Macaca mulatta: one gene and its partners. Each later gene encodes a partner of the first gene's protein in a complex. Links are inferred from orthologs where the notes say so. Each region holds a gene or a part of one and is shown on either strand. Other genes may lie near its edges.

Region 1 (4,544 bases):
CTTAGACATAAATGTATATTAATTTTGATAAAGCACTTAATAGATCATTGAGGTACCTGATATTTGAGAGGAAAAGGCTGCATCTTAGTTGTCCCCTTCACTCATGTGTCCTTAGGTTAGATAAACAGAAGGTAGACGGCACCGTCAGTTCCCTATAGAAATCCTTCACTTGAATTAAGGTATATGAGTTGTTACGGACTCTCACATTTTGTAGGGTGGCAGGGAAACAAAATTCAGTTATATACTGTAAAAGGGTACTATAGTAAATGTTTTTCTTAAATTCAGGGCCAGGAATTGTTTACTCTCCATATGTAATTATAGGTCTTACTATTATTGATTATGTTACGAAGTGTGTGTATATATATATGTCTCCTAGATTTGAAGACTTTTCTGGCTTAGCAGTGTTAAAGTTCTGAAAAATTAGTGTCTGGTAGAATGTTCTGTTTTATATTTTGTTTATTAAACTCAAGTAAATTGTAAATGTGAATGTTCTTAATTTTTAAGAATGATTGTATAATGCCAATAATTTTTTATCTTTTTCTGATTTTATTTGTGATTAAAATATTTATAGACTGAACTGAACTGTGTTCTGATATAATGAAAACTTAATGGGTATTCATTTGATTTGCATATGTACATGTATAATTATCAGGAAATCTGGAAAGTTGTAAAATGTTGAAAGGGAAAATTGATCCTTGTGTTCATTTCTTGTAAGATCTATAATCGAATGATCTGTTTTTAAAGACCTAAAGCATTATTTGAAGTGTCTATTGTTGTTAATATATGTGTTGATAAAGCTGTCTCATTTAGACATCTACCATTAACTAACATTTTGTATCCTTTAAGGTATCTCTCTGAATTCCTTTACGCATGGTTGATGTCAACATTGAGTCGTGCAGATGGCTCTCAAATGGCAGAGGAAAGGATAATGGAAGAGCAGCAGAAAGGCCGTAGTAGTAAAAAAACAAAGAAAAAAAAGAAAGGTGCTGTGGATTATTTTTAAACTTAAAAACAGAATGTACTTTAATTTCTACAAATAAATAGATGGAGCTACTTGTGAGTTAGTCATTATATTTTAGCTCTTGTTCCTTTTCTTTTCAGAAACTATAAGGTAGAGACTGAGTCCCAGTATTAATGACATAAGCTTTTTGGTTCCTTTCCTTGCTTTCATTTCTTTGCTGTTCTATCAGAATCTTTGATCAAGAAGTAGCCACGTGGCGTGTGCAAGCAAGATACAGGTTAGGGGACAAGACAGCAGGAGGCCATGGACCTTTTGACAGAGCCTGATAGCTCAGGAGGGCAGTAGTTCTGGAGCTGTGCTGTGGTAGTGGGCACCAAAAGGTGCCTTGAAGAACCATGAGGACAGAGAACTGTTTCAAAGGGACTGCCCTATTGATCACTTAGGGAAGGCTATAGATATTGCTACAATTATGGTAAAATACTGTTTCATATTTCCTCAGGACTTAAAGCAATTTGGAGGGGTCATTAAATCACTGTATTCATGGGTTTCCTTTAAAAGGTTAAATCTCTGGTGAATTCAGAAAAGTTATAATTACTTTATACTGGAATTTTATAGTATTAGCTATTTGGGGACATGATTATTATATTTTATTATTTGTAGATTTTGACCATAAATAACATTTAACCTGTAGGAACAAACTGAAGTTTTAATTTAGTATACAAGCTGGAAGATTTTTTAAAATTAGATTTTCTTTTCCAATAATGCAAGAGGAAGGAGGAAGAGATTATGGAAGATTATGTTTTTCTTTCTAATTACAGTTCGCCCTTTGAGCCGAGAGATCACAATGAGCCAAGCATATCAGAACATGTGTGCTGGGATGTTTAAAGTAAGTTGTTGAAAGTAAAGTTCTTTTTACCTTTTAGCTGTATGTCTATTATATAGTTTATTTAAACTCTTTTCTGTGGTTCTTTCCAGATTGTAATTTCACCTTTGTTTTACTTTATCTGCTTGAGGATTACCTTTATTATCATTAATTTGTTCAACAACCATTTGAACCCTTGCTATGTGTGAGATACTTTGTACTGAGTACATTGCAGGGGATACCAATTCTATATGGTCCTTGTTTCAAGTCTGTAGCAACAGACCAGTTGATGTGTCTGTGACAGGTAGTAAGAAAAGGCAGAGAGTACTAATGATTGATGATCAGGCAAGGCTTCCTGGAAGAGATGGAGGTTAGGTTTTTTAGGAGTGTATTTGGAAGAGGGTGAGCTCCACAACCAATGACTTAAGCAAAAGCAGGCCTTTTCAAGAGGCAGTGGGTACTAACTCTTAAGTTGTACTTGGCAGTCCAAGAAATCATTTGAGGCAACTTACATGAAAATGCATAAAGCAAAACATGGACTTTGTTTGAAAATAGGACCTGTGCTTATGACAATTATATGTCCTCATTTTTTCAGAAGCGTTTACTTGAAGGTTTTAAATAGCTGTTTCTTGTCTTCTATTCCGTATTGATGAGAGTGTTCGCTTTTTTCATATTGATTTCATCTTTTTTCTTGTTCCCTTTTTCATTTAGACCATGGTTGCATTTGACATGGATGGCAAAGTACGTAAACCGAAGTTTGAGCTTGATAGTGAACAAGTTCGGTATGAGCACAGGTTTGCTCCGTTCAACAGTGTGATGACCCCGCCGCCCGTGCATTACTTACAATTCAAGGTGAACCTGCTCAAGGAAATCGTTCAGAAATCTTCAGTCTTAGACCTTCTTAGAGAGATGCTGTTTGTACCTAGCCATCTTGTTAAATTTACAGTTATTTAAATTGTAAGAATAATGTGAGGTAGCATATGAGGGTTGAGAATTACATATTACCTAGGGAAAAATAGGGAGATGTGCCAAATGTTTGCCCCAGTGTCTGTATATGAGTGGATAGAAAATGTAGAATTCTTTAATAATTAGAAATGGGAGTTTAGAGTTGTTCATATTAAACATGTTTTGAATTATATTTCCCCTTCTTTTTAGGAAATGTCTGACCTCAATAAATATAGCCCTCCTCCTCAGTCTCCTGAATTGTATGTGGCAGCTAGTAAGCACTTTCAGCAGGCAAAAATGATATTGGAAAATATTCCTAACCCGGACCATGAGGTAAGACTGGATTCACAGTAATTTTAAGGGAAAAGCGTGGCAGGAAATACATCTCTTACTGCTGGATGAAAGTTAATTATGAAAGTGAACTTTAATAGTGTTAGTGAATATAACTTGTCATGTTTCTGTGAAAGATTTTGGATAGTTTTGTCAAACTAACCTTGTCAGACTTCAAGTTATTTTAAGAATGAGGTGATGTAAATACCTGCTTTGTGTAAATTTAGAAGTCAATGCAAAGACAAATTATGACTCACAGTCATGAAGTAAAAAGGATAAGCATAAGATCCAGACTGATCTGATTCATAGCTCAAAATGTTAGCATTGAAACATTTCTGGTTTAATCAGTTTGTTAAGGGGGCCGGGCGTGGTGGCTCACACCTGTAATCTCAGCAGTTTGGGAGGCCCAGGTGGGTGGATCACCTGAGGTCAGGAGTTTGAGACCAGCCTGGCCAACGTGGTGAAACCTCGTTTCTACTAACAGTGCAAAAAATTAGCTGGGCATGGTGGTGCATGCCTGTCTGTAATCCCAGCTACTTGGGAGGCTGAGGCAAGAGAATCATTTGAACCCCAAGGTGGAGGTTGCAGTGAGCCAAGATTGTGCCGTTGCACTCTAGCCTGGGCGACAAGCGAAACTCCATCTCAAAAAAAAAAAACAAAATTATTAAAACGTAACTAAGTTTTACATAAATATGAAAAATGACCTGGCCAGTTGTCACAGAAACCACCTTATTCCACTTGACCATTTAAAATAAAGGCTATTGCTTTTGAAGACTCTGAGATATCAAAATAAACTTGGGGAAAAAAATTGTTTCAGGCTTTTGGTATTTTAATAATTTACCATATCCCTAATTTTATTGAAATACATTTATTTTCTAAAAGTTACCTGTAATGCGCACATACTGTTTTGGGAAGTATATCTTGGGACCACTTCCACAGAGGGGTAGCTTAGCAGTATTTGTCAAAAATCATTAATGCTTAGATCCAGCAGTTCTGCTTTTTGGGATTTATATAGATACATGAACACATACAGGAAGTGAGAGTGATGAACATAAGAGTATTCATTGCAGCAGGATTTCTAATAGCAAAAAGCAGGAAGAAACAGTATCCATCAACAGGGGACTGATACATGATGATACATTCATACAGTGGTATACTACCCAGCCTTAAGGAGGATGAGGAAGCTCTTTACGTACTGTGATGGAATGCTCCGTATGATTTAAGAAATCTAAAAAGAAAGGCGCACTTTAATATGCATAATATGGTGCAGTTTCAATCAAAGGGGGCAAGGGAAGCCTATATGTATGTGTGCGAGTATAAAATATCTTTAGAAAGATAATATCAGAATTGGTAGTTTTGTTTCCTTCCTTGGAGGGAAGCAGAGTGCCTGGACGAGGGATAGGGGAGACACGTTTTAAAAATGATATGTACCATCTAAGAAAATAT
Region 2 (3,752 bases), on another chromosome or scaffold:
GGGTCTATGGGCCACAACTTCAACCCGCCTGGGCTGTTTCCACCCCGTGCACAGTATGGCTCGGTCGGCTTGGGCCTGACGCCTCTTCTCCCACAGTTCCTGCGCTCCCAGGCACCCCCTTGCACCGCGCACCTGCGGGACCCCGGTTTCACGGCCCTTCTGGTCACCGGATTCCTGCTCCTCGTGCCGCTGCTCGTGCTTGCTCTGGCCAGCTACCGCCGCCTCTGCCTGCGCCTCCGCCTAGCCGATTGCCTGGTGCCCTACAGCCGAGCCCTTTATCGGCGTCGGCGCGCGCCGCATCCGCGGCAAACCCGGGCCTCACCAGGGTCCCAGGCCGTTCCTACATCAGGAAAGGTCTGGGTCTAATGACCCTCGAGTCAAGAACAACCCTGACGGCTGCCCTCCTTCTTACTCGGCCCAAGGACTTGAAGCCCGGCATCTTCCGACCTGCCCTGCCCCCACCCCTGCCTGAGCGGAGTCCTAGCATCCCCTTGGGAGCAGCAGCGTCAGTGGACCCAATGCTGAGGAAAGCCCCCACATCCCGGAAAACCCACTTTCCTTTCACTACCCACATCTCAATCCTGAACATCTGGGCTGGAACCTGCACACCTTCCCCTCAGCCCCGTCGTGAATGGGACAACAATCTCGTGCCCTCCTTTTAAGGTGCAGCTCCTCCAGTATTTCCGGGGCTGGGGGGCGGGGCTGGAGGGGAAGGAGTGTCCACGCATCAATAAAGATTTAACGAACTCAACGTGCTCTGCAAACACAGGAGTGGCACAAGTACTATCACCCCTGCCCTGTGCCGAGGAACAGGAAACATGTGCCAGGGCCACAAATGAGCAGAGAGGAGCATCCTTCAGCCCCCTGGCCTTATCGCTTTTGTCCGTTCTTCCTGGCCAGAACTCAGAGATCTGTCCCTGACCCCAGGCACCTCCCCATCAATAGAGTGGAGGGGGCCCAGCCTCGGCCGCCTGCCCCTGCTCCCCTTGGGGACCTGAGCCCGTTCTCTGACCCCAGCTTAAAGGAACTCGGTGTTGCCAGGCCGGGGTGGGAAACAATGGGCCTTCCGGAGCAGGATGACACCCCCTCCCGCCACAATTCTGGAGCAGCAGCGTGGGAGGGAAGATGCAGGGGCCCACCCTGGGGCCTGTTGGTGCATCATTCAGCCCTGTCCCCCATCTCTACCCCTGAACTTGAGAGAACCTTTGGCACCCCTGGACATCCCGGTTGGTAGAGGAGGGTTGAGGGTGCTCCCGACTTCAGATGAGTCCTTTCCTCTAGGGGTGGGGTGTCCTATCCCTGTACTGGCATCCCAGCTACACACAGACACAGGTCCATTCGGTCGTAAGTTTAATGAAGTCTGAAAGGTATGCGCCACCGTGGTCAGAGATATGGAGGCCCGGTCAGACTCTCCCTCTGCACCTCAATGGAAACGATGTGGTGTCCGGGTACCATGGCCAAGCCCAGCACACGGGGCTCCCCGGCAGAGAAGGAATCTGGAAAGAAGGATCAGAGGATCAGGGAAGCAGGCCGGCATCAGTACCGCCCCTCTGAGCCACAAAAACGAGCCCCAGAAAACAAGGGCTGCAGCCAGGCCCTGAAGGGGAAATGCCTTGCGTAAGGTTCCGCCACATTTCCAGGCGGGTGTGCATTCCCCAGGCACTGACCCGACGGCTTGAGGAACTCCTGCGCCGAGCCCAGGATGACATTGCAGTCACGGTCAGTGCAGAGGAAGCAGCCCACCAGTGTCCGTCCATCTGTCATGCGAATGCGCATAGTTTTGTTGAGCAGCGCCTCTAGCTGCTGCCGGGCGCGCGCAGCCGCCGAGTCCTCGCGCTCTCCGTCCGAATCCTGCGCGGGGTGGAACAAGCGCTCAGACCGCGCAGTCCCGGCTGCCCGCCCGCGGAACCACAGCTCCCGGCAGCCCGCGGGGCGCTCACACAACGCCCAGAGGCTGCCGGGAGCTGCAGTTCCCCCACCCCCTCCATCTTGCTGCTCGACTGCCCCTCAATCCCAGAACCAGAGCCCGTGCTAACCCCGGCGCTGGAGCTGCTCTGACGCCGACTGCAACAGCCATTCTCTTCTCGTAGCAGCATGGTCGGTCCAGCTCCGGCCATTTGCCCGGAGGCCTCCTCTGGGCCTTTCAACTTCCTAAGCACCTTTCAGGTTGGGTGGTCCGAGATCTCGCGAGCGCTCCCGACCGCTTTCCTTTCGCGAGATCACCTCTCCTCCACCTCCTAGTCTCCTCGGCAACGGCAGAGATCTCGCGAGCTTCTCCTACTTCTAGCGCTGTGGCTCACTGAAGCGTACCACGCCGGATGTCTTACGATATCGCGAGACCTTTACCTCTACTTTCTTACACATCCTTTAGAAACTCTGGAATTTAGCGAGAATACACTCTCATACTGCCTCCTCCCTTGTTTTTCTGTCTCAGAGAGATAGTCTGTCATAAATATCCCATGTAGCCCAGGCCGCTAAATTAAAACGGAGCGTATTCGTTTTCTGCCCACCCCCAACTCCTGAAAGCGGCGCAACTCAATTACTTGATCCTTATATGCCCCGTGTGGGACTCATACTACATTTCCCGTGAACACGTGCGGTCCAAGCCTCACCTCCTGATATTTATCTCAGTGGACGGTGGCCGGAAAAGGACAATGGTTTCCATGTCAGCGGATAAACGCTCTCCCCTCGGCTCCCGGACGCGACGGAGGTCGTAGTAGTAGTGAGTGCGTGCTGAGGAGCAAAGGAGTAACCAAGAGAGCCAGTGACTGACAGAGCAAGAGCCATGCCGCGCCGGGGCCTGGTGGCTGGGCCAGATTTGGAGTATTTTCAGCGTCGCTATTTCACGCCGGCGGAGGTGGCCCAACATAACAGGCCCGAAGACCTCTGGGTATCTTACTTGGGACGCGTGTACGACCTAACGTCATTGGCACAGGAATACAAGGGTAAGGGTCACACGTTGGGCCGGGGCCGGAGTGTGTGTGTGTGTGTGTGTGTGTGTGTGTGTGTGTGTGTGTATGTGTGTGTGTGTGTGCGGGCGCGCGCGCGCGTCTGCCTGGTTCTTGAAGGGCTGGCATTGACCGTGGCTGCTCTTTTCAAGGGAACCTGCTGCTGAAACCTATAGTGGAAGTTGCAGGCCAGGACATCAGCCACTGGTTTGATCCAAAGACCAAAGACGTGAGTTATGCTGAAATCTGGGGTTGTGGGTAGAGGCAATGGAGAGCGGGGATGGGAAGGAAAAGCGGAGGCTAGCCAGAGCATAATGACTGCTCTGATCCCCTCGCCCCAAACCCTCCTTTAAAGATCCGCAAGCACATAGATCCGCTGACCGGCTGCCTGAGGTACTGCACCCCGCGGGGTCGCTTTGTGCACGTTCCGCCTCAGCTGCCCTGTTCGGACTGGGCCAACGATTTTGGGAAGCCCTGGTGGCAGGGGTCGTATTATGAGGTGGGGCGGCTGTCTGCCAAGACCCGGAGCATCCGCATCATTAACACACTCACGTCGCAGGAGCACACACTGGAGGTGAGAACTGGTGACAAGGAGCAGGTTAGAGGGAATGGGGAATCCCAGCAAATCTCCAGGCCGATCTGCAGGGCAACATTTTTTTCCATAACCAGTGGGAGTGTATTTTCTGCCCTTTACATTGAGGCAACTGAGGAAAGCACAGCACCTAGGTCCCCAGGGTTGGTAATTCTAGGAGTGTCTGGGTCACACGGGGACAAGAGACTCCTTTATAAGCCTGGGAACAGCAG
Region 3 (4,739 bases), on another chromosome or scaffold:
CCAACAACTGAAAATGTTACTATGAAAAGAGGTAAAGATAAAATAGTTAAGTACAGAGTAACTGAAAGTGTCTCACATTTGTATTTTTTTTTTTAACATCTTTCACAATTAGGAAGAATCATAATAAGCTACCATTTTTGTTAATCAAGTATTGGCAATTTTGTAAGGTTCAACCCCATATAGTCCATTGACCCATTACAGGTTATCCATAGAAAAAAGCAACATTTTGGAGGTTTCTAATCTCTTGAGATTGCTGTTTGTAAGGGCAACTGTCTCTTGGTGGAGATAACTTGCTGACACAATAATCTTCACTGAATGGATCAAGAGTATGTCATTTTTCAGGTTCTTATGTTACCATAATGAGAGGCCAGGAGAACTGGGTTCTAGCTTTACCCTTCTGTCAGTAAATATCTGGAGACTGAAACATTTTGAGTCACTTTGGTTCTTTTTTTCAATCAAAAACCAAAACAGAACAAAACCTAAGTTGGGCTGGATTATCTCTAGGATGCCTTTCAGTTCTAAAAGGTTATGATTTAAAATAAACATACACATTTACGCATTTGCATTTTTTAAAAAATAGTTCCTATGGGAAACTTAAATGTAAAAGTATGCCAAGATAAAGGTTTCAGTTTTAAATGGCCTGGTTGTTTTTTAACTACTGTTTTATTATTGTTTAATACCTCCTGATTCATACTGGCACTAGTAAATCTTATAGGTCAACCACTTGTGCATATTGCAATTTCTAGATATTCAGAATTTAATATTAAACAAACGAGCTACTAAAGGCTAACACACACATTAGCTGGTGAATTGGAAGGGTTCTACATAAAATCAAAACTAAAGTTTACTAATATTGTTGACCAGAGTCTAAAATGGCAGACAAGTTGAGAAAGGCTTAGGTAAACATCAGGACTCAAAAGTTGACTGAATATTATATACACAACAATTTCCTGGAATTGACAGAAAAACATCTATTTCAATTTGAAATGTGACTCAATCATCTGCTTCTGTGGGTTAACTTACAACTAAATCTGCAATTTTTAGCAATTACAGTGGCATTTGATATGACATTTATAATACTGCTATAAATCATTTTCTCATATTCACTGACATAGACATGTCTTAGAACTATTCTGATACAATGCTTAGAATACTGAAAGAGCAGTTTTCAAGAACATAAAATAGCACCCACAGTTTAAACAAATGTACTGAAGTTTAAGCAAAGTTAAGACAGAAAATAGAACTACCATTATCTACAATACCCAGGTTACATTTTCAAATTACCACCAAGCTAGATAATCAAAAGGACAGGGAAGTATTGTCAAAATATCTTGCAGGGAATTACTAAGTGAAACTAAGCCAATGCTAAAACACTAAGTAACGGTGGCTTTTCCCTTCACATATTATAAAATATTCCTTAAATGGATGTCATCTAGAAACAATATGCTTGTGAGTACATGATACAAAGCATACACCTGCAGTCAACAGTTAAGTTAAAGGGTTCATAGAGACTGAAATGGGCCAATATTATTGTGAAGAAATTACTGGTACTGCCAATACTACGTAAATTTTTAAAAACTGTCCAAAGTCTTTCACTTATGTGTAATATTATTGCCAATTATAATTTACACAAGCCAGTGTTACTAGTGTTTGGCCACATCTTCAACCAGTTTCTAAATTAAAAAAAAATAAAATCAGATCGGTAACAATTTCACACTTAAGTTTTCTACATTCCACAAAAGGGTATTTTTGTTCAAGTTTCAGGAGTCTTTCAGTCACCAATAGTGTTAGTAGCGCTTTCTGCAATGGAGTACCAGAAAGCAGGCTGGCTACAACTGTTCATTGTCCTGTTGAAGTAAAGGGAAACATCTCCATAATTACTGAAAATGCTTGTAAGATTTAATTCTCCAATATGGCCACACCAAGTTTGCTGACATTCATGTTCACCAAAACATGTTTATGCATACACTCTTCCCTGATTATAGTTGTAACTGAGAGACTAAAAGGCCTCTATCCAAACAGAACCATGTTCAAATTAAATTACTGTGAAGTGTTTGAGGATGCGGGCAGGCAATTAAAGACGGTTAAACACGATTATAATCTAATGTAAACAAGACACAAGACCCCCACCCCAGTGAAACACGCCACCATACAGGCTTGCTGCAGTTACACTAGTATCACGTTAACCCGAATCATGAAGTCTTACCTTCAAAACAGTTTCATTAAATAACTAGGAATGTGTACACGCACTTGACACCATATAACGTACTATGATAAGCAGCAGGAGATATCCACTGCCACACTCTGGGCCCTCGCTCCCTGCCCCGCACAGTCTGGATCACTGCTGGGTTCACCCTCTTTTTATTCTATCCACTTACCAAGAAGCACAGCTGTGGCCAGTTGTGGATAAAATATCTATAGGTATAAATGGAGTAGGGTTCGGACAGATCTTTGGTGATCAGTCTCATGATATCGGGCATTTGTAGCTCGGATTCATATCGGACATATCGTATCGTCCGATCCTCTCCAGGCTCAACCTCCCTGCCCGAAGGGCTTCTTAAGCTGCAGTCGGCGGTCAGGGACGAAGACAGCAGCCGCACCTGCTCGTCTTCCTCCTCTTCCTCCTGCTCGGTGCCCTCGGCCAGTCCATTGCGGGCCGCCGCGGGATCGCTGGCCGCCGCTGCCTCCGCCGGGCTGGGGACCGCAGTTCTTGCATTATTAGAGAGGGAGTGAGGGGGCCTCTCGCCCGAGTGTACCCCGGCTCCTTTTGTTGCAGTCGCTCTGGGGCCTCCGTCAGGGGTGGCCGTGGTCGCGGCCACCTCGGCTACGCTCAGGACCTTGCTCTTGAGGGAGGCGGCCGCCCGGAGGTGCCGCAGTTCGGGGCTAATCAATCCGTTGAGCTGCTGCTGCTCCTGCGGCGGCTGAGGGCAGCGGAGGCACGGATGCCCCTTGGTCGCCACAGTCGCCGACTCCCCGCCCGCCGGGCTCCTGCCGCCGCCGCCGCCTTCGTGCTCCTCGTCGTCCTCCTCGTCCTCGCTGCAGCAGGCGAGGGCGGCCCCCGCCGGGAAGGGACAGTGGGGCTCGGCCGCCGCCGGGGCCGGAGGTGCTGGTGGTGGGAGGAGGCTGCTAGGCCCAGGCGGTACCTCCGCCATCCTAGAAGCGACACAGACCGAGAGGGGAGGCCATGAAACCCGGCCGAAGAGCGCGGAAAAGAGGGGGCGGCGGGTGGGGGGCGGCCGAGGTGGGGGGAACAAAGACAGAAACCGTCCCTCACGGAGCTGCCCCCCCAATTCCGCGCCACCCCCCCCCGCTCTTCAGCGCCGCCCAGCTGCTCAACCGGCCACCGTCCCCGTCCGCCCGGGCCCACCCGCCAGCCCTGTCACTCGCGGCCCCTCCCCGTCCCCTCCTCGCGGCTCACCCCGCACGGGTCCCCGCCGCCGCTGCCGCCACTCCTCTTCCTCAGCCACTGCGGCCGCCTCCTTCGCAGCCGCGGCCGCCTCCACAGCCTCCAAGGCTCTCACTCAGCCGCCGTCGCCGTAAAGCGCCTCGGCTGTTACCCCGGGTAAAGTTTCCTGGGCCTGGCTTTACGACACTTCCCTGCCTGCCGGCTGCCCCGGCCAAGAGAGAGGGGCGTGGAGGGAGGTGACCTGTGGAGGGGCGGGGACGAAGGTGTCTCCTGCGGGCTGCGGGGAAGGCCGCGTGGTAGTGGGTGGGGCTCTGGGGCCGGGAAGTTGCAGAGGGCTTTGGAGTCACAGCCTCCCAAACCCTTCTCCTCGGTTCTGGGGCGCCTCAACCCGTGGTGCTTGCCACGCGGGGCCGGGGAGGGATGTACCGGGCAGGCGCTCCCTGCTTCAAGTCTACCGTGCACTGGGAGCTGTAGCGAATCTCGCCAATTCGGGGCCTCTGGAACCAGCCGTTTACAAGTCACCTAAAAATGCCTTTTTAAAGCTGCACAGCGTTTAATGTTTGCCCTGACCAGGGGCAAGGAGGATGGGGGAGGAGCGATTAAAAATGGAGCAAATCAGGGAAGCCGACCGAAAAGGAAAGGAAGCTTTGAGCTGTGAAAATATGGGGATGGCTGTCGAAACGTGGTCGTTTGCAGTTTGAATTAAGTTCAGCTGGCCCTTGCCACTTAGCGGCAAGGGAATCAGCCCTCTTCTCTCTCCTTACTCTGCTCCTCGCGCCCAGTAAAATTGGAGGCAAAAGTGACTGACAGGTGTTGGGCAATTGCGAGCACACCTGGGGAAGGGTTAGAGCGAGATGGTGAAAGACTGTGACCAGGGCTAAGAAGCACAATCCTAAACTTGTGACACAAATAGGTTAGGAAGAATTCACTGGTAAACAGGTGGCCTGATCCTCCCAAGGGATCTGCCTATTGAGTGCAAAGGGGATAGAACTTGAGCTTGTGACTGGGCTCCTTCTGCTCTAGTCCACAGTTGACTCCCGGCAGGTGTGAGCTGAGACAGTGTATGTAACCCGCACACTGAACAAATTCGGTTGTGTTAAAAACCTGATTTATACAGCTGGTTTGGTGTGCCGCAGATGGACGTTTGCGGTATATAATTCTATGACGGAACATGTTGGCAACTTTTTGCAATAATCTAAACTCTACGTATAAAATAACTATTATGCTCATAGATTCTGTGGCTCTGAAATCCAGACAGAGCACAGCTGGGATGGCTTTTCTCTACTCCATTATGCGTAGGGCTTCAATTGGAAGACTCCAAGGCTGAGGAGTA

The links.
Region 2: the proteins of NAA35 (region 1) and NAA38 are in contact, whole or in part, in a cryo-EM structure (PDB 7MX2), measured with the Homo sapiens proteins. The link is inferred for Macaca mulatta from reciprocal best matches to the Homo sapiens genes NAA35 and NAA38. Residues at the interface, in NP_001308810.1 of Homo sapiens: Val30, Asp31, Ile32, Thr33, Phe36, Ala39, Cys40, Leu43, Leu45, Glu47, Leu48, Leu49, His50, Asp51, Phe54, Glu58, Ala59, Ala62, Ile63, Glu64, Met65, Met66, Ala72, Gly73, Met74, Gln306, Arg307, Leu309, Pro310, Pro311; in NP_001307854.1 of Homo sapiens: Ala41, Arg42, Leu45, Glu46, Leu48, Leu49, Arg61, Phe67, Leu68, Cys69, Thr70, Asp71, Arg72, Cys74, Ile77, Arg97, Val98, Leu99, Gly100, Leu101, Ala102, Met103, Val104, Pro105, His108, Ser111, Ile112, Glu113, Val114.
Region 3: the proteins of NAA35 (region 1) and NAA30 are in contact, whole or in part, in a cryo-EM structure (PDB 7MX2), measured with the Homo sapiens proteins. The link is inferred for Macaca mulatta from reciprocal best matches to the Homo sapiens genes NAA35 and NAA30. Residues at the interface, in NP_001308810.1 of Homo sapiens: Leu45, Gly46, Leu48, Leu56, Ala59, Met60, Ala62, Glu64, Lys69, Glu121, Phe313, Pro314, Arg315, Ala444, Leu510, Glu511, Leu512, Glu517, Pro605, Lys606, Phe607, Glu608, Leu609, Asp610, Val614, Arg615, His618, Arg619; in NP_001011713.2 of Homo sapiens: Glu221, Pro238, Ser240, Tyr242, Thr243, Arg245, Tyr246, His249, Asn250, Lys304, Ile324, Glu334, Asn335, Leu336, Gly337, Val339, Arg340, Asp341, Lys342, Arg343, Phe345, Arg346, Tyr347, Tyr348, Leu349, Leu359, Trp360, Leu361, Arg362.

What each region holds. Positions count from the first base shown.
Region 1 is NC_133420.1:116,830,159-116,834,702, forward strand, and holds part of NAA35 (N-alpha-acetyltransferase 35, NatC auxiliary subunit), read left to right. Parts: intron 1-846; coding exon 847-983; intron 984-1,779; coding exon 1,780-1,847; intron 1,848-2,534; coding exon 2,535-2,675; intron 2,676-2,978; coding exon 2,979-3,101; intron 3,102-4,544. UniProt on the Homo sapiens protein: Auxillary component of the N-terminal acetyltransferase C (NatC) complex which catalyzes acetylation of N-terminal methionine residues. N-terminal acetylation protects proteins from ubiquitination and degradation by the N-end rule pathway.
Region 2 is NC_133421.1:9,360,653-9,364,404, forward strand, and holds NAA38 (N-alpha-acetyltransferase 38, NatC auxiliary subunit), read right to left. Parts: upstream 2,214-3,752; 5' UTR 2,118-2,213; coding exon 2,037-2,117; intron 1,852-2,036; coding exon 1,643-1,851; intron 1,502-1,642; coding exon 1,384-1,501; 3' UTR 1,338-1,383; downstream 1-1,337. Other genes in the region: TMEM88 (transmembrane protein 88), read left to right, coding at 97-366; CYB5D1 (cytochrome b5 domain containing 1), read left to right, coding at 2,786-2,945, 3,101-3,177, 3,304-3,752.
Region 3 is NC_133412.1:130,499,455-130,504,193, reverse strand, and holds the start of NAA30 (N-alpha-acetyltransferase 30), read right to left. Parts: upstream 3,517-4,739; 5' UTR 3,419-3,516; intron 3,154-3,418; 5' UTR 3,153-3,153; coding exon 2,379-3,152; intron 1-2,378. UniProt on the Homo sapiens protein: Catalytic subunit of the N-terminal acetyltransferase C (NatC) complex. Catalyzes acetylation of the N-terminal methionine residues of peptides beginning with Met-Leu-Ala and Met-Leu-Gly.